Ovis aries: one gene and its partner. The main gene of each other region encodes a partner of the protein of the gene in region 2 in a complex. Links are inferred from orthologs where the notes say so. Each region holds a gene or a part of one and is shown on either strand. Other genes may lie near its edges. The genes, in order: TES and ACTL7A.

Region 1 (12,004 bases), on a different chromosome or scaffold from region 2:
TCTAATTTCCTATTATTTAAGTAGGGAGTTAGGTAGATCAGGTACTTGAAAAAAAAATAAGTGAAACTATTTAAAATATGACTGGAGCTTTTTTATAAAAGAGTCAAAGACTGGAGGTGGATAGCTGAAAAATATAACCTCTAAATTTAATCCTCTAATAACAGTGCTTAAGGCACATTTTAATCCATGGATTTTACTCAAAGATCAAATACAAATTTATCAAATTAATTTTTCCTTAAAATCTTGAAAGTTTGAGGTTCTAAAACTCATTTTCAATGTGGTTAGTCTTTTCTCTATTTTCTTATCACTGAAGTTATTTCATAATTCATAATTTATATAATAATCCCTAACATCACTACTTTGTAAAAAAGCAAAATAATTTCCTTTATGTATTGTATATCAATGATCTAATAAATGGATTTTTAAAAAGTCATTCTTTCAGGTACCATGACAGTAGTTACCAAACAAAAACTAGTAATGATTGTAAACAGGAAATGCAATACAGGAATGACCCTTGCAGCACACTTGTAATCAGGAAAAAGACAGTTTGTGTATCTATAGGTGTAACACTGTAAATGTTTTAGCTTTATCTGATTATGAGCTTCTTCACATTCTAATACATATAAGCTGCTTTCTCATTTCTTTTTCATTTGATATTACTTAAGACAAATAATCACTCCTAATTATAAAGCTTGCAAAGCCAGGAACAAATACCAAGAATCACCACTAAATTAGGACATTCTGTGTTACAAATCTAGTGTAGTCTTGTCCTGTAAAGAGTTCACTAAGGGATATAATCCCATTTGTACTTACTTTCTATCATTTATTTTGTCATTTTTTTTCTCTATCATTTCTCTCAATAGTGTAAGTTCTATAATACAAGGTATCTTGTCTTTTTGTTCATACTATACCCCCAGGGTTTAGAAAAATGTTTTGCACATAAACTACTCACATAGTTTTTAAATGAATCATCTTATTTTGGGAGAGATAACTTTTAAAGACAATAAAAGCTCCATTATTTTTCATTTTCCTGTAATTAAGTACCATAGAGAGTGATATACATCATAACTAGGCTTATTTGCCTCATGCTAAGAAAGCAATTTATATGCCTTTGAAGCTGTAAACTAAAGAGTTAAATGAATTAAACTTAATGTTTTCAAATACGCCACAAACATGTAAAAGGCAAACTAAGTAAAAACAAGTTGAAAAAGCAGCTAAGATCTATTAAAAATTTTTTCATTTTCTCATGGACTCCATACGAATATATAACATTTATATACAGGCCATTTCATTGAAAATCATAAATATTTATATATTCTTGGCCTGTATGATTTTTAAGCACTGTGTAATATTATTATATTTGGTAAACTACTGATAATATTTTCCAAAGTCAAAAAGAGTAATTGGGTTTGAAGAAATCTTAGAAATCACTTGGCTCCCCTATTGATTTTTATGGATATGGAAACTGAGATCCAGAGTGGCAAAGATCACAAAGACTACAGTGGACCCAGATCTGCTAATTCTCAGCCCAGAGTGAATTTAAAACATCATACTGATAAACAGACGTGAGAAAGCTAATATACCATAAAAGATCTTTCTGTATACTACTGCGCTTTACCTATACTGGGTACTTACTAATCTTTTCAATTTCTGAATACATGGTAGTGATTTGGCGTGTAAAAAACATATTCAAATTAGCATGGGGCAAACTATATCCCTACTTCTGGCTTTCAGAAAAAGAATATAGGAAGTAGTACTCTTTTACCAATTTATTGTTCTTTCTACTGAACAGACCCTTTAGACTAGACTAACTCTATGGTCCATGATGTTAATTCCAGGCTCACAAGACTGGTACCCTACTGGAGTTCAGTGAGTGCCTCGTTAAATAGTTCATTTTGGTGTTTCCTACTGCTTCTCAATAGGTCTTCTTGTATGAACAATTCTGCTAACACTGAACTTTTTGTTTTTAACTGCTCTATTCTGATCTGCCATTCCAGCAGCACTTAGAGTATTTTGTTGCTAGGAGAAAAAGAGGTTTAGCCTACCATGTTACGTGTAAGGCTTACTATCAACTCTGGGGTTCAGCAGGTAGAACAGATTCTTCTACAGGCCAACCATGAGTACCTGTATACAATTCCAGATGTCACTAGTTGAAAGACAAAGAGCCAAAAGCAGGGTTGCTATTGTTCAGAACCATATTAGGTAGCTAGAAGGCAGCATTATCACTGCTCCCAACAAAACCTAGAAGATACAGTTCAGAATATTATTGGAGCTTATGGAATTTCTTTGACTGTAAAATCTCCTAGAAGTTACTTTTCATGATATTTGTACTTATTTAGACTTTGTTTCCATGCAAAAAATGTCAAAGGCAACTTACCCTAAAGGCATACGGATCATGGGTAAAGTATAAACTATAGAAAACCAGTAGAGTAGTAATTTTATTGGAATAGAAACCATTTCCCCAATATAATTCCTTTAAACAAATAAAAATGTTGAAATGCATGTTAGGTTTTTTCTATTAGGGAACTTCATTCAACATATATGCAGTGATCAGAGCAAGGGTATCAGAGGACTCAGGCTAGGTGATGTGATGGAAGTCACATGGATTATGAAGACTATGGTGCAAGATCATAGTTACTTTCTGCCAGTTTCAGATCAACCTATCTAAGCCTTAATTTTCTTATCCTTAAAATGAAGCTAGTCTGCTTCATAAATTGCTTTGAACAGAAAACAAAATAACTATACAAGTATAAATAGGATATGAATTTCCCTCAAGAAGCTTGCAATCCAAGTAAGAGAAAGACTATAATGTAGAGGGAGAAAGTAAAAAGTTTGCTAAGAGTTATAATAACATGCTTTGGGAATATAGAAGAAAGAGATTTTCCATCTAGCTGGTAACAAGAAGAATGATTACCTGGAGGGTGATGTGTGTGTTGGGGGGAAAGGGGGGGCAAGTAGGGTGAGGAGTGTGTCTTGGATTAGTAATATTTAGTATTATTGAAGGTGAGCTAGCAAAGTCAAGGAGAGAGGTGATGGTACACAGCTTGATAGCCAGTAGAGACATAAACCCCTAATTCAACTTCATAGGATAGGATTAAGGAACAAATCAACAGAAAATCTACTACCGTTCTATTCAAACCAATATTCAAAGCAAGTTAGAAAAAGCGACTTTTCATGTCTAATTAATGTAATGACTCACACTATGGCTTAAAAGAGATAAAAGCCCTGCTGAGGAACACTTTATTCTGTACTTGTTCTGAGAGAGTAACTGCCTCTAAGGTAAAGCCCTGGAAGCCCTCTCATTACCCTAAGTCTTGCCAATGATTCTCAGCAAGAACGGCTTCAAGCAGAGAATTCAACTGTAGAGCTGAACCTCCAGGTCACCGTTTACTTGCCTTTTCCACTTCAGTCAGGGGCCACCCTAAGAGAAAAGGTTCATTCTAATTTCTAACGGAGACAGTCTTCGTGGTGCAGTTATCTTGCCAACTGCAATCACACGGTGTCACTCTGATTTTTCAGCAAATGACAGAAGCTTTCAGAACATGTTTGGATGCTGAGAAAGGAGATGTTTTAGTGACTGTGTAATCTTTAAAATCTCATCTTTTTAAAATGAAAGAAACAAAGAAAAGGATCTTACAGAAAAAATACGCAAGACATCAGGAAGGATCAAAAGATGGAGGTTAGAAAGGAGGCAAACAATGAATAAGGTGTAAAATTAAAAGTTCTATAGCAATTCCAGGCAGCATAAGGGAAATTACTATAGTTCTCTTTCTCTCTGGTATGTTTTTAAAGGGAAAAAAGTGTTTCTCAGGGGAGAGTAACACAGAAAGGAAAGAGGAAAATAGCTGGCTGTGGGCCATGATTTAGCATTCATCACAAAATGAGACTCTGTTTCTGTTTCTCAAAGGTCATTGTGTTTTCCAAGCAGACACAGGCTCTACTTACATGAAGTTAATTATAATGAAGAAACACAAGACATAAGGAAGAGATCTAGACAAGAAACTCCAAAGAAAGAGCGAAGATGTAAAACTCAAATTCTACTCTAAAATATTAAAACAAAACTCTGTATAACCAAACTAGCTCTTACTTCCTAGCAACAGCTCACTTATCTCAAACAAAATACAATATAGTAAAATCTAGTTATAAAAATTCCTTGCCTTTCTGATGGTGTATTTTAACTGGTAATTAATCCAAATTTATGCCCATGATAGACACCCAAGTTCTCCTCTTAAAAACAAAAAATCTTATAATAACATTATCCACCTAGGTGGATGTGAAATAAAGATAACCCTCTAATTCTTTTTACATGAAATGTTAATGGGAAAGTAACATTTGTCATCTGCCTAGAGAATATTTCTTATGAAAACAACAGTAAAAAGGTTTTAAAAGGAAAAAAAATGCCATGCATCTTAAAACAGAAGTTAAATTTAGTTTTAGTTAAATGGCTGTGTCTTTATTTCAACTTTCAGCTATGATTTTTAAAAGGTATAGTAAAACTATCAGTTTTCTTGTATATCCAAGTGAAAAAGAAGGGAGACCTGAAAAGTATCTAGATACCAAAATAGGGTAAGAAGGCTCATAAGATCAAAGATGATCTTGTAATGTTTCCTTCTTCTCATGTGTTAGAAAACAATTTCTAAAGGGAATGCAAGTTTCTTTTTGAAATTATGAAATGTATTTCTGGGACCTCTAAATTCTTTGTACTGGGAAACACTCTGTCAAATGCACAGAACATTAATCTGTCAAGGATCCTACCTAGACACAGAGAAGGTATGTTGGCAATCAGACTGGACATCTTTGGGATCTTTTACTTTCCAATTTACTAGTTGAGGACTTTGCCCTGAGAATCACCAGTGATGACAAGGTAGTGAAACAAGGATTTGTTACTGTCATGGTATTGTCTGTACAAGTTTTAAATTTATGGAATCCTTTTTCTTGGGGCGGCGGGAGGGGAGGAGGAAGATGAGAGAGAAGGATAAGATTCTCGGTTGAAAAGATAACCTTTTAAAGTAAAGGGAAGATGCAGGAGAAAAATTACACCATATATCAAGACCATTATTTATGATAATCCACATTCTGAAACTAAGGAAACTGTATAAATAATGTCTGGATTTTTCCCTTGCTAGCACATATAATTCTTAACTCTGGACTTTCTCCCTCAGAACTACTTCTTGTCTCAAATAATTTCAAAATCACTTTTGAATGCTACTTGTTTTTTTTTTCCCCTCCTTTTAAATAGAGGGGATTTTTGTTTTGTTTTGTTTTTCCGGAGCAGTCAGGTTCACAGCAAAATTTAGCAGAAGATACAGCATTCCCATATATCTCCTATCCCTTTTCAGACCAACCCCCACCCCCATTATCAATATCCCACATCAAAGTGGTACATTTGCTATAACTGATGAACTTTCACTGGCACATCATCATCCCCCAAAGTCCACAGTTTATTTTAGGGTCCACTCTTGGTGTTTATTCTGTGGGTTTTGACAAATATATAATGACAGGTATTCACAATTACAGTAGCTTACAGAATGGTTTCACCCATTCATCCCTCTCTCCCAAAGGATCTGGGCATTTAAAACGTCTTTTCTGAAGCACTATGTTTAAGCATAGACAAGATCCCCCCAAAAAATTTTTAGACAAGTACTAAATTACCCACTGTTTCCCACATGAAAAACAAAATAAGCAGCGTTCATCAACAGATGGCTAATTAAGGGGCAAACAAAATGCTTTCCTAGTAGCAAGCAAGATTAACAAAAAATGTGCTGCTGCTGCTGCTGCTAAGTCGCTTCAGTCGTGTCCGACTCTGTGCGACCCCAGAGATGGCAGCCTACCAGGCTCTTCTGTCCCTGGGATTCTCCAGGCAAGAACACCGGAATGGTTGCCATTTCCTTCTCCAATGCATGAGAGCGAAAAGTGAAAGTGAAGTGTCATCTAAAAGCAAAGAAAAGAATAAGAAACCAAACTAGAAGACAATAGAATTCAATCACTGTACTCTCAGAATACGTTTTCCTGTTCATGAATTCCCTTTTGGAAGCTGAGTCTAGTCACAAAGGGCAAACATGTTTTTTTTTTTTCCCCACTGCAGGCTTTTTATTTTTCAACAGCCTCCTAACCTAACCTAATATTTTGCACTTGCATATATTTTCAAAAATCCAACTCTGGGCATGAAACAGAACTAATGCTTAGGTTAGAAACCTTGTCTTTAGAAGATAAAGTAATGGCAATGTTGATAACCCACAATGAGCAAGAGAAGAAAATTAGGTTCTCTACTTTCCCCTCCTTTACTCTCAGCAGAACTTCCTTCTTTATTTGATAAGGAGCAACATTTCCTTCTCCAAGGAGCAAGTAGCTTAATCAATTCCCTGGAATGAGACGACCTTTCACACAGAACGTTACACTGGAATGTGACATCAGCATTCCCTCTGAGTCACAGTCTAGTCCCACCCTTTTCTCCCAGGAAACGCGAGTCTCCTAATATCACGGAGCGGCTCAGGTAGGGCCGTGGGTCCTGACGCCCGGAGGGCAGCCAGTCAGGAAACGTCTCCTGGAGCTAAACCACCGCTGACAATCGTCCTTTGGGACTAGTTGCCAAAGAAGGAGAACATTTTCTTTGGAAGACGAAGGCAGTGCTTTGGAAGTCAAGTAATGAATGACCAGAGACCAAAAAAAAAAAAAAAAAAAAGTTCACCTTTCACGCCATCACCAGCCGCTGCTGCGAAGGAAGCACATTAAATCAACGCTCACTCTAGACAGCCTCTTGACTGCCAAGCTGGGAAGGGAGGAGGTCTGAGCTGTCAAAAGTCTCATCAGTCACCCCAAACCACAAAGGCTTAATAAAGTTCAGCTTCCTGAGACAGGAAGAAGTAGTGTCACGGTTTCGCCCGAACTCGCCCTAAGCTCATCCTTTTCTTCTTGGGAGGCACAAGCCCTGCCAAAACATCTTAAGGAAAAGTTTCAAACACCTCCAACCGTTGGACTTGGTTAGACAGGGAGAAATGTCCCGCGCCCGCCCTCGCGCGCGACTCTCAGTCGCTCCTGGGTTTCAGGAGTTAGTAGGGCCAGCGGACACCCCCTCTACCCGAAGGACCGGGTACTGGGGCCCCGGGCGCCGGCGATCCCGACACCGCTCGTGCCTGACGGCCCTTGCGCCCCACCAGCCACTGGCAGCCAGGGGGCGGCGCCCCGCGCAGGTGAAGCGGCTGCTGCCAGCCACCCTACCTTCTTTACTTTGGCCTCCAGGTCCATGTCTATGTGTCAGAGGGGGTTTCTCCTCCTGTCGGGGATATCACGCCCAGGATCGCCGGGCGTCTGGCACCGTTGCCGGTACTGGAGGAGATGTACCGGGACACCGGCGCCACCGCCGCAGCCACTTGCCCGGCACGGTCAAACTTCCGCTGCCCAGTCGGCTGCAGCCGGCCTGCGGCGGGGACCGGGAACAAAGAGGCCCAAGCAGCCAATGGCAGCCGGGCCCCTCCAGGCAGCCGCCAATCACTGAGCGCCGCACGCACCTTCGCTGCCGAGCGCGGCGCCAGCAAGGTGAGGGGCGGGGCCGCGTTCGGGGCGGTACCCTGCGGAGCTCAATCCTGTAGCCCGGAGTTGATCTCTGAGGCTCCGCTGGGCGTCCTGACTACCTGCTCCCAAAGAATTGGAGCCCAAGCTGCCTCCAGCTGAAATGAGGAAGAGCCTTTTCCATTCAGTCAGCTTGAACCTGTTTTCCTTGGGACTTTAAATATGAATTCAGAGCGAAGAAAAAGAGAAGTTGTGGGGATTGTTAGGGATCTTCGTGATGGAAATGCACTCTATAATTTCACTGTTGAGTTGTGGAAAAGGCACTTGGCTAAATACTTTTCTCCAATATCCCAAGCACTGGCTGGAAACCTTATCTCAGACAGCCAATGAAGAGGGTTATATGGGTTTTCTGAGCATTTGATAGTTCAAAAATGAGGATAGTGTGAACCAGTAAAGGGATAACTTACACCATTCCTTTGGAAGGAGAGGCTTGTCCTTTGCCCCTGTTGTGTGAAATGATGTGAGGCTGCTCATGTGCCTCATGCTTAGATGAAGCAGTATCATAGGCATAACAAGCAGCGCTGCAGCTCTAGATTTGGATCCATATTATGGCCTCGTTCAGGAGCAATGGCAATGAATACTATTGCCTTGGTGGACCTGAAAGGAAATCTAGGGATTATTGAGTATAACTTTCTCATTTTGCAGGGAACTGAGGACCCCAGAAGTATAGGGACCTGCCCAATTTATTAGTCTCTTGGGGACAGAGCTAAAGCTCATGAGTCTTTAAGCAGTGTCTTCAGCTTGTTCCAGATGGAAAAAAACAACCTTTTGACTTTTTTTCCTCTGTTCATGGTAATGATAGAAAATTATAATGATTAGATAGCAAGTGACCACCTAATCTGCATCTACTTTTAAAAGGGAAAAAGTCCCAAATCATATAGCTATTTAGGTCCACATTTCTCTCCCCTTTGGTGGTGGTGGTGGTGGTGGTGGTGGTTTAGTCTCTCTGTCATGCCTGATTCTTGCAACCCCATGGACTGTATGTAGCCTGCCAGGCTCCTCTGTCCATGGGATTCTCCAGGCAAGAATACTGGAGGGGGTTGCCATTTCTTTCTCCAGAGGATCTTCTTGACCCAGGAATCGAACCCAGGTTTTCTGCACTGCAGGCAGATTCTTTACCAACTGAGCTACAAGGGAAGCCCTCTCTCCCCTTTACCTTTTGAAATATGATAACTTAAAAAACCCAAAATCATTTTAGCTAACGTTTTCAACCCTTAGGATCTTCCCCTGGACAGACCCCTGGTGTCCCCTGCCTTTTGTTTGCAGAAGAACATTAACTTCCTACGCTTTTCCCAAGTTCCCAAAAGCAAATTTAATCAGTTAAATGAGAAATTGCAAAAACAAAGGAAAACAGTCAAATGAAACTAAATAATAATAGTTTGGCTGTAAAGTAAAGCCAAGGGCCTTTAGCTTCTTCCTTCAGTGCTATAGATAGTATCCTGAGCCATATCCTTGTACTGGTTTTATAGAAACCAGGCCCCACTCCAACCAGATGAACCACCAACATGTAGGCCCCAGACTGGTTGGAATTAAGAAGGTTGATGATTGGGATTCCTGAAATTGTGTGCTGTTACTTCATCACCGACAAGTCAGAGAATTGTGCACAAGCTGGTCAGGCACCCTACAACCCATACCCCAAATGCTGCCTTTAAAAATCCTCCCGTAAAAACCACTGGGGAGTTTTAGTGTTTTGAGCTTTAGTTGCTTGTCCTCCTTGCTTGATGCCTTCACAATAAACACTACAGTTTGCTTCACCACAACCTGGTGTCAGTAGCTTAGCTTTGTCTCATATTGGATGAGCAGACCCAAATTCAGTTCAGTAACAAACAGAGCACTGATTTATGATGTGATGTTTTTCTTATTCTATTAATAAACTAAAAATGAAATGACCAAGATGGTCATGAATTTTTCTTCTCACTCAGTTTAATTAAAACTTTTCCAAGCCATTTTCCCAAACCATGCTACAATGTTTGGGCTCCTGCAAAGTTTACCCAATGTAAACTCCAATGAACATGAGGTTTAGTTATGACAAGGCAATTTGGTCTCTTTCAGGGAGCTTAACAGATGGAAAATGTCCAGTGAAACAGTTTAAATAAGGAATCAAATGATGTTGTAACATAAATTTTGGGCTTATTTTGTGAAATTTGAGAGACAAACACTAGAGAAAATATCTGGAAACATTTTTTAGCATTGTATTTTGCCCTTCTCTCTCTCTTTCCTCCCAAACCTTCTAGCATCACTTTGTGTATCATTTGCTAATTGAAATTTTTATCTACCTGGAAACATTACTGTGCCAATTATATACAAATTAACATTGAGGTAGATAAGTTTTAGTTTAGGAGGATTAGACTCCAATTTCTTATTAGCTGTTCAAGTGTTATGCTAAAGAGATACTAAGGAATTAGAACTGGCATTGTTCGATGACAAGATGTAATTGATGACAGAAAAATGAGTAGAAGATAATACACATGTTGCTGGCTTGCTCATTTTTGTAGGTGGTTCTGGAAAAAGGAAAATATAGGTTGTGTTTAGTTGTGTTTTCCTGGGAGTGGGATGAGGACAAAGGGTACAGTCATTAGATTTGAGGCTGGGATACTGAAGTATCCACATATTAATCTTAGAGATGAGAACTGGAGTGGAATGGTGATTTAAGTGTCAATATCTTACATAGATAAATAATTGAAAGCCATGGATGGAAAAGATCAGCATGGAATATAACAAAATAAGAGAGAATATCAATGACCTCAATTGAGCACAGTTGAGCAAGAAAAGCACAGAACGGAAATAAAGGTTAGTTAGTAAAAAAAAAAAAAAAAATTAGAGTTCCCAACAACCTCTTAAGAGAAGAAATTCAAGAAGGAATTCATCAACAATGTCCAGCTATAGAAAAGGGTCAAATTCTCATTGAATTTAACAGAAAGTAAACTTGGGGAGTAAAAGCTGTATCCCATGTCAAATAGGCTATGGGACAAACTGAGGCAGCAACATAGAGAGTTAAAGGAATAACCAATGATTTTAAGGCAGTAGAAAATGTTGGAATTGAGTGATTGACTCGAAGGGAGGAGGGATGAGCATTCCTAAGAGTCACTCTTAGGAATCTAATTTGGTGATTTGTACGGTGGCTGTAAATCTCTCCTTTCCCACCTTAAGATGAGTTTCACTTGCATGTAATGATTTTGCAAGGCTGATTGGATCTGAGTTTGGCAGTCAAAAGAGACATCTGGGATGGAGATGCAGATGACTGGTTATAAATACACAGGCACAAACATCTACATATACACATGTACATATAAACACACACACACTCAACATACCAAAACATTAGGAAAAGAAAACACCAATAGGAAAGTTTTCTACACCAGGTAAGGTAAATTTCCAAGATAAAGATGACTGTACCTGTCTCCTCAATTATTAATGTAGCCCCAGGTGGCCTCTTTAGCAAATGTTCATAATTTATTAACACCAGTTAGAGGAACTCCTATGCTACTGACTTAGCTATTATTGCTCATTAGCAGATTGTATGGATTACACATTGTTCTATGGGGAGACAAACATTTTTTCAGAGCAAATTATTACCTGTAAAAAATTTTTTTAGTTGACCAAACACTGGTGTTTGGCTAGGGAAATAATGAATGATTCACATGAAAAGTTTATATTAATTTTTTCTAACAGTAAACAATCATAATGTTATAGGAACAAAATAGAAAATAGAATGGTATATAGATTATGCTCACAACTGTGCAAAAATATCATGCACAGAGAAGAAACATGAGGAAAATTCATAAAATGTTAGCAGTGGTTTGTCTCTGATTGATAGGTCCATGGGGATTCCTTCTTTCCTTTAAAAAATATTCCATGATCATGGCATATTTCTTAATGGAAAAACCTTATCTAAAAATATATTATTCAAAGCATTTTAGGAAGGTGGGGCAGTGGCAGTATAATTTTTCAATCTGCCTGAAAAATCTACATTAAAACAAAAAACTGATCAACTGGTTAGCAAAACCAAAAGCCATGGACAGCCTTCATAATAAAACTGGCAAGGTATCTCCATAAATCCAAAAACATGACAGATAAGGACAAGCCAACAAGAGCCACAAGACATGCATGTATAAAAAATTCTGTCGGGGAGGGAGAGAAGCAATAAGTTGGTGTCTGATGGACACCAGGAAAATTCAAGATGTTCTCCTCCAGATATCCATTTTAAAACACTGCAGGCCAAATTTCAAACAGCAGTGGAAACAGTGAAATGTGACTGAAGGGGCTGAATTAATCTCACCCTGTGATATCTCATGACTCACCCACTAGGACTTCTTTCTAGGAGAGGGTCCCACAATAAGAAACTTTGTCAAGGGAAATCAGAATAAGTAGGTTGGGGCAGAAGAGACAGTGGAAAGTGAAAGGCTAGAGGAGCTCTCTCCAATGTAGTAGCCAG
Region 2 (11,002 bases):
GGCCTGGTGTGATGCAGTTCATGGAGTGGCAAAGATTCAGACACAACTGAGCAACTGAACTGAACTACCCATCAGGTGTCAGTATGACATACCCCCTCCTCCTCTTACGATAACCACAAATATCTCTCAGCTCAGTTCAGTTGCTCAGTTGTGTCCGACTCTGCGACCTCATGAATCACAGCACGCCAGGCCTCCCTGTCCATCACCAACTCTCGGAGTTCACTCAAACTCATGTCCATTGAGTCAGTGATGCCATCCAGCTATCACATCCTCTGTCATCCCCTTCTGCCCCCAATCCCTCCCAGCATCAGGGTCTTTTCCAGTGAGTCAGCTCTTTGCATCAGGTGGCCAGAGTATTGGAGTTTCAGCTTTAGCATCAGTCCTTCCAATGAACACCCAGGATTGATCTCCTTTAGGATGGCCTGGTTGGATCTCCTTGCAGTCCAAGGGACTTTCAAGAGTCTTCTCCAACACCACAGTTCAAAAGCATTGATTCTTCGGCGCTCAGCTTTCTTTATAGTCCAACTCTCACATCCATACATGACCACTGGAAAAACTATAGCCTTGACTAGACGGACCTTTGTTGGCAAAGTAATGTCTCTGCTTTTCAATATACTATCTAGGTTGGTCATAACTTTCCTTCCAAGGAGTGTCTTTTAATTTCATGGCTGCAATCACCATCTGCAGTGATTTTGGAGCCCAAAAAATTAAAGTCTGACACTGTTTCCACTATTTCCTCATCTATTTGCCATGAAGTGATGGGACCGGATGCCATGATCTTCATTTTCTGAATGTTGAGCTTTAAGCCAACTTTTTCACTCTCCTCTTTCACTTTCATCAAGAGGCTTTTGAGTTCCTCTTCACTTTCTGCCATAAGGGTGGTGTCATCTGCATATCTGAGGTTATTGATATTTCTCCCAGCAATCTTTGATTCCAGCTTGTGCTTCTTCCAGCTCAACCTTTCTCATGATGTGCTCTGCATAGAAGTTAAATAAGCAGGGTGACAATATACAGCCTTGACGTACTCCTTTTCCTATTTGGAACCAGTCTGTTGTTCCATGTCCAGTTCTACCTGTTGCTTCCTGACCTGCATATAGGTTTCCCAAGAGGCAGGTCAGGTGGTCCGGTATTCCCATCTCTTTCAGAATTTTCCACAGTTTATTGTGATCCACACAGTCAAAGGCTTTGGCATAGTCAATAAAGCAGAAATAGATGTTTTTTCTGGAACTCTCTTGCTTTTTTGACATTACCAAATGTCTCTCGGTAGTCAAAACTGTTCCAGTTGGGAGCCAATGGGCTAAGATGGCTTCAAATATTTACTAAAAACTTTTCATCTTTTTTTCTGTATGAGGAAGATGCTTTTTTTCTGCAAGGGCTACTAATATGGAACCAGTGAGAGAATTCATAAAAGTGCTTTGAAAAGAGATTATACAGTTGTTCAGCCTTATATTGGCATTTTTCATTTTAAAATGGCAGTATGGCATTTATTCCTAGGATGGCCTAGGAGTTCCCATTCTCTAGAATCATCTCCCATTGCCTCCACTTCATCAAGACCCTCTTCACCTTTTGGGGGTTCTTGATTGGGGGGTTCATAGACCCTTAGGAATCTGGAGATAGTGTATTTCTATAATCCTATGTATTTTATTTGATGTGTTTAAAGAATATTATTCTGAGGGGTCCATAGGCTTTAACCACTCTGTCAAAGAGGTTCAAAGGTTAAGAATTAACCAGACTTCAACCTTCCCATCAATGAATGTTCTTCGAGTGTTGACAGTAGTGGTTTGGGCAGAAACAGGTAAACAAGGCAGACCTCTCTCAAGTCAGTGTACCCAACTCCTATCTGATGCCCTGATCCTCCAGGGTAAGGCTTATCCTTGCTGACTAAGCCCTTCTGTGGCTATTTTTGCTTCTTTCCTCTAGCTTGCTGGTGCCAGCCATCTGTGCTTACTCACCAGGCCTCCAGCGTGAGGCATTTGTGTCTTTCAAGGCTGTCTGTAAGGCAAACCTGGAGGTTATAAGGATGGCTCTGTAGGGTTTCTCCCTGAGCCTGGTAGAGATGCCATAGCTCTCCTATGCGTGCTTGAATGTGTGCGCCTTTGGGTGTATGTGTGGCTCAGGATCCTAGTAAGGCATTTGGGCTTCTGTATTTAAGCGGAAGAAACCTACATATCTAACAACTCTTAGGATCACCTCCTGGAGGCCACACACTAGTTTTCAAATGTTTATCTCTGATAGTTTCTTCAAAGCTAAACTTTATTTTTGTTGTTTTATATCTCATATGTATAATCAGCTGTGTGAGGTAGGCGTTTGAATTCAATTTTACAGGTGAATAGACTCAGGTCACAGGCTTCCTGGTAGCTCAGTGGTAAAAAATCTATCTGCCAATGCTGGAGTCATGGGTTTGATCCCTGGGTCAGGAAGATCTGGAGAAGGACATAGCAACTCACTTCCCTGGCAAATCCCATGGACAGAGGAGTCCGGTGAGCTACTTACAAACTGCCTGCAGGAATACCCCCTACCATGCTGGGCCCTGGAAGGGCTTCCAGGCCATGAGCGTCTTTATGTTCCTTCGGTTCCTCAGTTGGGTTAGAGTGACCAGAATGGAACAACCTCCCACAAACCCACAGCATCCACTGCAAACCGGCAGCCTTTATCCTGAGCCCATTCCAAACTCTGTATACCCTGCAGGTTGATGGAGAATCCAGTCCTGTCGGAGATGAGCAGCTGCTGTTTGAAGTGTCTGGAGATTGCCTGTGGGTTGCATCCTCATGACCTTAGTGCTGATAAACCAAGATAAATCTTCCCCCAGTTTTTAAAGGGGGAAATCTGTATAGCACCTATTCCCTGAAGAGTTTTTCCCTTAAGATAACACATACTTTGCTCATAACGCATGGGTTTCAGCAGCTAGTCACCGTGATGGCTTGGTAAGAACTGATATTGAGACATCATAAGTGACTACTGGGACTAAAAGAAAGTGCAATCAAAGCAGGTTGTCAGATATCTTCATCAGCTCTTCTGAGCCTTCAGAGATGCTGATCAAGTGTGAAAGGTGCCCTGCTCCTTTGTGGGAGATTGAACCATTACCGTGTACTTCCTGTTGCTGTTTATTGAAAGGGATATTCTTACATGCCATGACAGCATTTACTCTTAAATCTATCGCACTCCCAGAGTTTAGCAATACTATAGTACCTTATGTGGGGGATATACAAAATAAGGGACAGATGAGTAATTGTAGAGATAGTTTCTCCCCCAAATACTTCAGCAATCAACATAATGCATGTCTTTCTGGTCCATAATCATTCCCCCTTCCTTCCCTCCCCCCACCCCTACCCCCACTGCCCCTCTCCTTCGTCCAGCCCCCACCATTGTTTGGGCAAATGCATATTCTAAGGCAGATGCTTCATGCATGAAGTTCTCAGTGCATAAGGAAAGAGAAACACACTGTGGAAGGAAACATGAGGATTGTTTACTACTACAGAAGTGAACGGGCTGACTCTGTTCCCTGTGTGTGAGATGGGTGCTCACCCAGCAAAGCCGATGCATGTCACAGCGACCATACTGCCTTGGAGTTCAGAAGCACCTTCTGTAGAGGAAGAAAGGTCCATGTTCCTCGTACTCAGAGCGGTGGACCCACAGCGGTTGGAAGCCCTGAAGCGACGCCAGGATGGAGCCCCCAGTCCACACTGCCGTGTCTCTCTCAGGCAGCACGCTTACCTGGGGGGTGTCATTGGGACACATGCCGCTCAGTTCCTTCTGCAGACGGTTAGGGAACCCTCTGAGCATAGTGCTCCCCCCGCAGAGCAGGATGTTCCCCATGAGGTCTCGTTTGAGGGCGATGTCACACTTGTTGAGGCAGGACACCGTCTGGGTGTGGAGGCCTAGCTGCATGGACTTAATCAGAGAAGGCTTAAAGAACATCTCCGAGCAGAGGAACCTTTCCTGGCACAGGCAGATTGCCTGCCCATCTGGCAGGGTGTACTGGATCATATGCTGAGTAGCTGGGACTTTCTTCTCTTCAATGGGGTCCAGGGCCACAAAGCAGCATTTCTTCTTGATGTCCTCCACGATGTCCAGCTGGCCCTCGGTGAAGTGTTTCCCTGCAGTGTTCATCAGGCCCATCAAGTAGGTTGTCAGGTCAGAGCCCGCATAGTCCAGCCGTCCGGTGATGCTGGGCAGAGGGTAGCCCTCGTAGATGGGGACTACGTAGGACACGCCGTGGCCGACCTCCACCACCAGGCCGGAGGTCCTGCCGTAGGAGTACATGGACAGGCGGGACTGGTAGGCGATGTGCATCGCGGGTGTTCTGAAGGTCTCAAACAGCATCTCGGCATACTTCTCCCTGTTGGTGTGTGGGCTCAGGGGTGGATCTGAAACCAAGACCGCGTGCTCCTCTGGGGCAATCTTCATTTCTTGATGGAAGAGATATTCCCAGATATCCTGCACTGTATCCCAGTCCACAATAATGCCGTGTCGCAGAGGGTTAACCAGCTTGAGACGAACCTCTGGGTTGATAAGCTCGTGCCCCACGAATGTCTCCTTGCGATTGTCGCCAGTTTTGGCAGTCTCCATGTAGGGTTTGCCCACTGTGGTTGAGATCCTGTGGGTGGGCTTTGGCAGCCCGGCAAAGCCACATTTACAGTAGCCTGTGCCAAGGTCCACGACCACGGCTTTGGTCAGCTCTAGCTTGGGCTTCTTGACCTCAGGTGATGTTGTAGTTTCTGGCTCTGAATGGTTCCGGCGCACCCACACTGCCCGCTTGGCTGGGCCATCCTTCAAGGAGGCGGTCTGGAGGACCTGTGTGTGTGGGGAGCCCTGCTCACCTACTCTCTCGGACGGCCCATCCCCTATGACTGCTGCCTGTGGTGCCCACATGCTCTCAAGAGCCATCTTGCTCTCAGAAAGTTCCTCAATCCCACCGGCCTCAAGGCCTGAAAGACTGAAATAAGAGGGCAACTTGAGAATTTCTCCAGTGGTGACATCACTGATTATGACATAATCGAGTGTCCCAGGGCTTTCTAGTTACTGGGAACCTTTGTCTTGTGTTAGGGTATATTTGAGATAGAGTTTTTGAAGTGATTTCCTTTTTTCTAAATTTTGTAATAAACCTGGCTTATCCAATCAGTATTCTTGCCTCGCTATGTGCAAGGCAGGCAGCAGTGAGGGGAACAAAAGGACAAAAATCTCTGCCCTCAGAGAACTTATATTCTAGTCAGTGGGGGTTGGGGGAGAGACAGACAATAACCAAAATAAATATATGGGGGGGTGGTTAGTCACTCAGTCATGTCCAACTCTTTGGACCCTGTGGATTGTAGCCCTTCAGGCTCCTCTGCCCATGGAATTCTACAGGCAAGAATACTGGAGTTGGTTGCATTTCCTCTAAAGATGTTCAGAGATTGAACCTGGATCTCTTGCATTGCAGGCAGATTCTCTCTTCACAGGCCATTGCTAGGACTTTGGCTCTAACTCTGCATGAGGTCAGAAAGCACTAGAGAATTTTGAGCAAAGACATGATACCATCTGACTTAGGACCAGTTGCTGCTATGGCAACTCTGCCAAGCACTTACAAAAGGTAATATATTCACAGATTCCAGGGATTCAGATGAGGACATCTTGCGGGGGGGTGGGCAGGTCATTATTCATCCTGTGCCACTTGACCTGTAAGACACTCAAAGCCTGGCATGCTCGGTTTTACAAGCTCCTCCCCCATTGCCCATGCTTGCCGTCCTTAGCCCTTCGTGTCATCAGTTAAATCCAAGCCCTTACCTCTAGCATTTGAGGTCCCCCCAACCCCTGATGGCTCAGCGGGTAAAGAAGCTACCTGTAATACAGGAGCCTCCAGAGATGTGGGTTCGATCCCTGGACCAGGAAGATCCCCTGGAGTAGCAAACAGCGATTCACTCCAGTATCCTTGCCTGAAAAATCCCTTGGACAAAGGAGCCTGGCGAGCTACAGTCCAGAGGGTTGCAGAAAGTGGAACATGACCGAGCACACGCACCTAGTTGCCTCCACGACCTTATCCTCATCTATTTTTCCAAACACTAACTATTGGAAACTGCACCATGCTTCCCTCAGAGCCTCTGCTCAGGCTACGCTCCCTGCCTGGGATGCCTGTCCCTCCTCTAAGCTACCGAACAGGCACCCACTTACCTTTCAGTACTCGATGTGGGCACCCCCTCTCTGCAGAACCTTCTGACTCCCTCCCTCTGTGCTCCTGTGTCCTCCTAACAGACGTCCACCTGCAAACTCCTCTGCATCCATTCATCTTCCCGACTAGATTGGGCACTGCTTGTGGCCGGGTTGCTATCATTAGAGCTCTCAAATGCTTTAAGGAGACCTGGTACACTGAAGTTGGAGGAACTTGGGTTATAGCACGCTCCAAGAGCTGTTTGCTCTAGGGCAAGTCATTTGCATTCTGAACCTTGATTTCCTCAGCTCTGCCTATCTCCCAGGATTCTGTGAAGTGTCATGTGAGATGCCTGCTACAGTGCTTGGCTCACCGGGCTGTGTGTGTGCTGTGCTAAGTCGCTTCAGTCACGTTCAACTCTTTGCAACCCTATGGACCGTAGCCTGCCAGGCTCCTCTGTCCATGGGATTCTCCAGGCAAGAATACCGGAGTGGGTTGCCATGCCCTCCTCCAGGGTATCTTCCTGACCCAGGGGTTGAACCTGTGTCGCATACATCTGCATTGGCACTACATCCAGTAGTGGGTTCTTTACCACTAGCATCACCCGGGGGAGCCTTTGGCTCACTGCTGCTGCTAAGTCACTTCAGTCGTGTCCGACTCTGTGCGACCTCTCAGCAGCCCACCAGGTTCCCCCATCCCTGGGATTCTCCAGGCAAGAACACTGGAGTGGGTTGCCATTTCCTTCTCCAGTGCATGAAAGTGAAAAGTGAAAGTGAAGTCGTTCAGTCGTGTTCGACTCTTAGCGACCCCATGGACTGCAGCCTACCTTATCACCCTTTCATCAAGCTGAGAAGCAAGAGGTGATCAGCTAGTGGATGGGGGATTAGGAATAAGGATATAAGGTGAGAAAGAGCAGAAACCTCTGAGATGCAAGTGTGCTTGGATTTCTAAAACTGTGCTGGCCACCTGTTCTGTCCTGAAGCAAAGTTGAGTTAGGCCAATGGGGTTGGGGGGGAGGATAGATCAAGGGCCTGCCCAGACCAAGCCCCCCCGCTACAACTGCCAGAATGGACCAGCCCATGTGACATCACAATTCCAAGGGGTTGCCAAGTCACTGCTAGAAACAGACCCTCATTTCTCCCCAGGGAGCTCTAGGATGTGGATGTGAGACAGGTGAGCAAGGAAGGCAGATGGCGACAAGGAACAGCCCTAGCCCCAAGCCGATGGGCACGGCCCAGGGGGACCCAGGAGAGGCAGGCACACTGCCAGGTCCTGATGCTGGCATCCTGGACAAAAGTTCGGCCACTCCGCTGAAGATGAAGCCCAAGAAGGTGCGCAAGATCAAGGCGCTTATCATTGACCTGGGCTCCCAGTACTGTAAGTGTGGCTACGCAGGTGAACCGAGGCCCACCTACTTCATCTCTTCCACGGTGGGCAAGCGCTACTCAGAGGCGGCCGATTCCGGTGACACCCGCAAGGATACCTACGTGGGCCATGAGCTGCTCAACATGGAGGCGCCTCTGAAGCTGATCAACCCGCTCAAATATGGCATCGTGGTGGACTGGGACTGCATCCAGAGCATCTGGGAGTACATCTTCCACACGGCCATGAAGATCCTCCCCGAGGAGCACGCTGTGCTGGTCTCTGACACCCCGCTCAGCCCCACGAGCAACCGGGAGAAGTATGCAGAGCTGCTGTTCGAGACCTTCGGCATCCCTGCCATGCACGTGACATCCCAGTCACTGCTGTCCATCTACTCCTATGGCAAGACCTCTGGGCTGGTGGTGGAGAGTGGGCATGGTGTCTCACATGTGGTGCCCATCTCTGAGGGCGACGTGCTGCCCGGCCTGAGCAGTCGAGCTGATTACGCGGGCAGCGACCTCACCAACTACCTGCTGCAGCTGCTCAACGAGGCCGGCCACAAGTTCACTGACGACCACCTGCACATCATCGAGCACATCAAGAAGAAGTGCTGCTACTCGGCCCTCAAGCCCGAGGAGGAGCTCGGCCTGTGCCTGGAGGATCTGCGCGTGGACTACGAGCTCCCAGATGGCAAGCTCATCACCATCGGCCAGGAGCGCTTCCAGTGCGCCGAGATGCTCTTCAAGCCCACCCTGGTAGGCAGCAACCAGCCCGGCCTCCCCGCACTCACCGCTGCCTGCCTGAACCGCTGCCAGGAGGCGGGCTTCAAGGAGGAGATGGCTGCCAACGTGCTGCTGTGCGGCGGCTGCACCATGCTGGATGGCTTCCCCGAGCGCTTCCAGAGGGAGCTGAGCCTCCTCTGCCCCGGAGACAGCCCTGCAGTGGCCGCGGCTCCCGAGAGGAAGACCTCCGTGTGGACCGGCGGCTCCATCCTGGCCTCCCTGCAGGCCTTCCAGCAGCTCTGGGTCAGCAAGGAAGAGTTTGAGGAGCGGGGCAGTGCGGCCATCTACAGCAAGTGCTGAGCAGCAGGGTCCCCACCAGCCAGGTCTGGGGGCAGGCAGCCACAGGCCACTCTATACACATTTTCAGAATTTCACATAAAATTTTACAGTGCAGTGGCTCCTGTCTGGTCTGGATTTCTTGCTCTAGGCTGATAGCAGAAGGTGGGGAGGGGGATTTGGGCTTTCAGTCTGTATCTGTTGGGTTGGGAGAAGCAGGCACGAGGGGAGGCTCACCGGCCCCTCCCCTTCTGCCCTGTTCCTGAGGATGACATCATCATAGAGCCCAGAATGTGGCTTCTTGTTCCATTAGCTGTTCAGGGTTCAAAGCCCAATCCAACCAACACTCATATTGCTTGCTCACCCATAGACCAAGGGGGGAACAAAGGCTCAAATTAAGGGACTGGCTTGGGTTACAAAGTTATGTCGTGAGTGGGACACTCAAACTAGGTGTCTCCTGTCTTTGACCCTGATGGTCGCCTGCCCACAGCTTTATCACTGCTTGACTGCCTCACTAACCATCTGCCGCACCCCCCTCCCTACCCTGCAAAGATACAGCCCATGAGTGTCTCCTGAGTGGGAAGGGCCATTTCTACCCATCAGTGGCCCTCTCCTTTTAGACTCCTGCCAAAACTGTGGCTATTTTTACAGTGTCACAAGGAGCCACTGAATCTGGAAGATGTTAAGAGAAACCAGAGGCCATTTGGAAATCATTTGGTTCTCTCCCTCCTGTAGAGATGGGGAAACTCAGGACCAAGATGGAGGGGGCCATGTCAGTGGTTGAGCCTGGGTTTCCTGACCCAGGTCATGATTATTTCCAGGAGGGCTTCCCAGGTGGTGCCAGTGGTAAAGAACCTGCCTGCCAATGCAGGAGATGTAAGAGATGCGGGTTTGATCCCTGGGTTTAGGAAGATCCCCTGGAAGAGGGCATGGCAACCTATTCCAGTATTCTTGCCTGAAGAATTCCATAGACAGTGGTGTCCCATGGGGTCGCACAGAGTCAGACACGACTGAAGCAACTTAGTACAAGCACACAAACATGGATGCTTTGGTTTGGGCTGCTATAGCAAAACACCACACCTGGGGTGGCTTGTAAACAACAGAAATCTATTTTCTTATAGTTCTGGAGGCTGGAAGTCCAAGAGCCGGGTGCCAGCATGGCAGGCTTCCAGTGAAAAGCTTCTTCCAGGTTGCAGACCCCTGACATCCAGCTACGTTCTCACTTGATAGATGGGATGAGGGGTGTCTCTGGGGTCTCTGCTGTTGAGGCACTAATCCCATCCATGAAGGCCTTACCCTCCCAAAGTTTTCCCTCCCCTAACGCATGACTTTGGGGATTACGTTTTCAACATAGGAATTTGGAGCTGGGGGCTGGGGACTGGGAGAGTGGAAGCAAACATTTAAACTAAGCATCTACTGTGGATGAGACCCAGACGGGAGACAGAAATGACCAGTGTGGCCCTTTCCTCGGGATCACACACAGCTCCTGGGGGCAGCCACATTGATAAGGAAACAAGGCCTGAGCTCAGTGTTCCTGAGGGTGGGAAGGTGGAGGTGTGCATATTGAAAGCTGCGAATGGAGAAGGAAGTGCTGGGTGTGGTGACCACTTGGTAGCTTTGAGGCTGAAGGAGAAGACATCAAGACTTGTGAAGGACTTCAGCTGGTGAATGACTGTCTGCCTAGAAGAGGGTTGTTCCTGCCTCTTCTACTCTCACCTCCAGATGGGGCACCATGACTGGCGGCCCATGAGCAGAGTCAGTGAAATCAGCCCTTGGTGAGCTGTGTAATCTGATGGGCCATCAGGTATCCCTGAGCCACTTCTTACCTTAGACAAAGAGTCCTGCTCTGGGGGCATTCTGTGAGGCTCCCTTTGTCCCTGGTCCTGTGCTAGGGACTGCAGGTTTGGGAAAGAACCAGACGTGGTTCTTCATCACCTTTATCACCTAATGCCCTGGCATCTGGGCCTTCCCTGTTGCCTAGAATTGGGTTTGTAGCCTGGAGTTGGGGTTCCTCTGGGACTGACAGGGCTTTGGTGCTATGCAGGGCTCTTGCCTGTGGAGACAGCTTCAGACTGGAGGCTGGTGGTGCCAGTCGACACAGTTTATTTGGCCAAGTGGTGAAAATAATATTTTTTTTGGAATGTGAATTCTTTCAGTAGGACCTATATTCTTATGTTGCCAATGTCTCCACCTCTCTGATGTCTTCATACATACCTGCTGCTTCAACATAACTTTTGCTTTATTAGCCAGCATTCATTTCTGTGGCTTGCAACCCAAGAACCTTGGCTTGATATTTCTCCTAAAAGCCTGATGAGATACAGAGAGGAAAGTGGAAGCTTACAGAGGGGAATGTAGTATACCCCAAATCACACAGGCAGTAAGTTAGTGCTGCATGTAAATGTTCTTCCACATGCTGGTCTTGACAATCGCTGAAAGCGATGTCTGTGTCTACCGCCCC

What was found.
Region 1: the proteins of ACTL7A (region 2) and TES are in contact, whole or in part, in a crystal structure (PDB 2XQN), measured with the Homo sapiens proteins. The link is inferred for Ovis aries from reciprocal best matches to the Homo sapiens genes ACTL7A and TES. Residues at the interface, in NP_006678.1 of Homo sapiens: Leu28, Gln29, Thr30, Ala31, Ser32, Leu33, Arg34, Asp35, Gly36, Pro37, Ala38, Lys39, Arg40, Ala41, Val42, Trp43, Val44, Arg45, His46; in NP_056456.1 of Homo sapiens: Asn311, Glu312, Tyr313, Thr314, Gln315, Ala316, Glu317, Leu323, Phe326, Leu335, Ala336, Gly337, Glu338, Ile339, Tyr340, Val341, Tyr353, Pro370, Glu371, Val372, Gln373, Arg374, Val375, Thr376, Tyr377, Ala384, Phe389, Leu398, Ile399, Gly400.

Annotation. Positions count from the first base shown.
Region 1 is NC_056057.1:53,708,888-53,720,891, forward strand, and holds the start of TES (testin), read right to left. Parts: upstream 7,426-12,004; 5' UTR 7,246-7,425; coding exon 7,219-7,245; intron 1-7,218. UniProt on the Homo sapiens protein: Scaffold protein that may play a role in cell adhesion, cell spreading and in the reorganization of the actin cytoskeleton. Plays a role in the regulation of cell proliferation. May act as a tumor suppressor. Inhibits tumor cell growth.
Region 2 is NC_056055.1:14,404,038-14,415,039, forward strand, and holds ACTL7A (actin-like protein 7A), read right to left. Parts: upstream 4,943-11,002; 5' UTR 4,888-4,942; coding exon 3,571-4,887; 3' UTR 3,452-3,570; downstream 1-3,451. Other genes in the region: ACTL7B (actin-like protein 7B), read left to right, coding at 7,315-8,568. UniProt on the Homo sapiens protein: Essential for normal spermatogenesis and male fertility. Required for normal sperm head morphology, acroplaxome formation, acrosome attachment, and acrosome granule stability.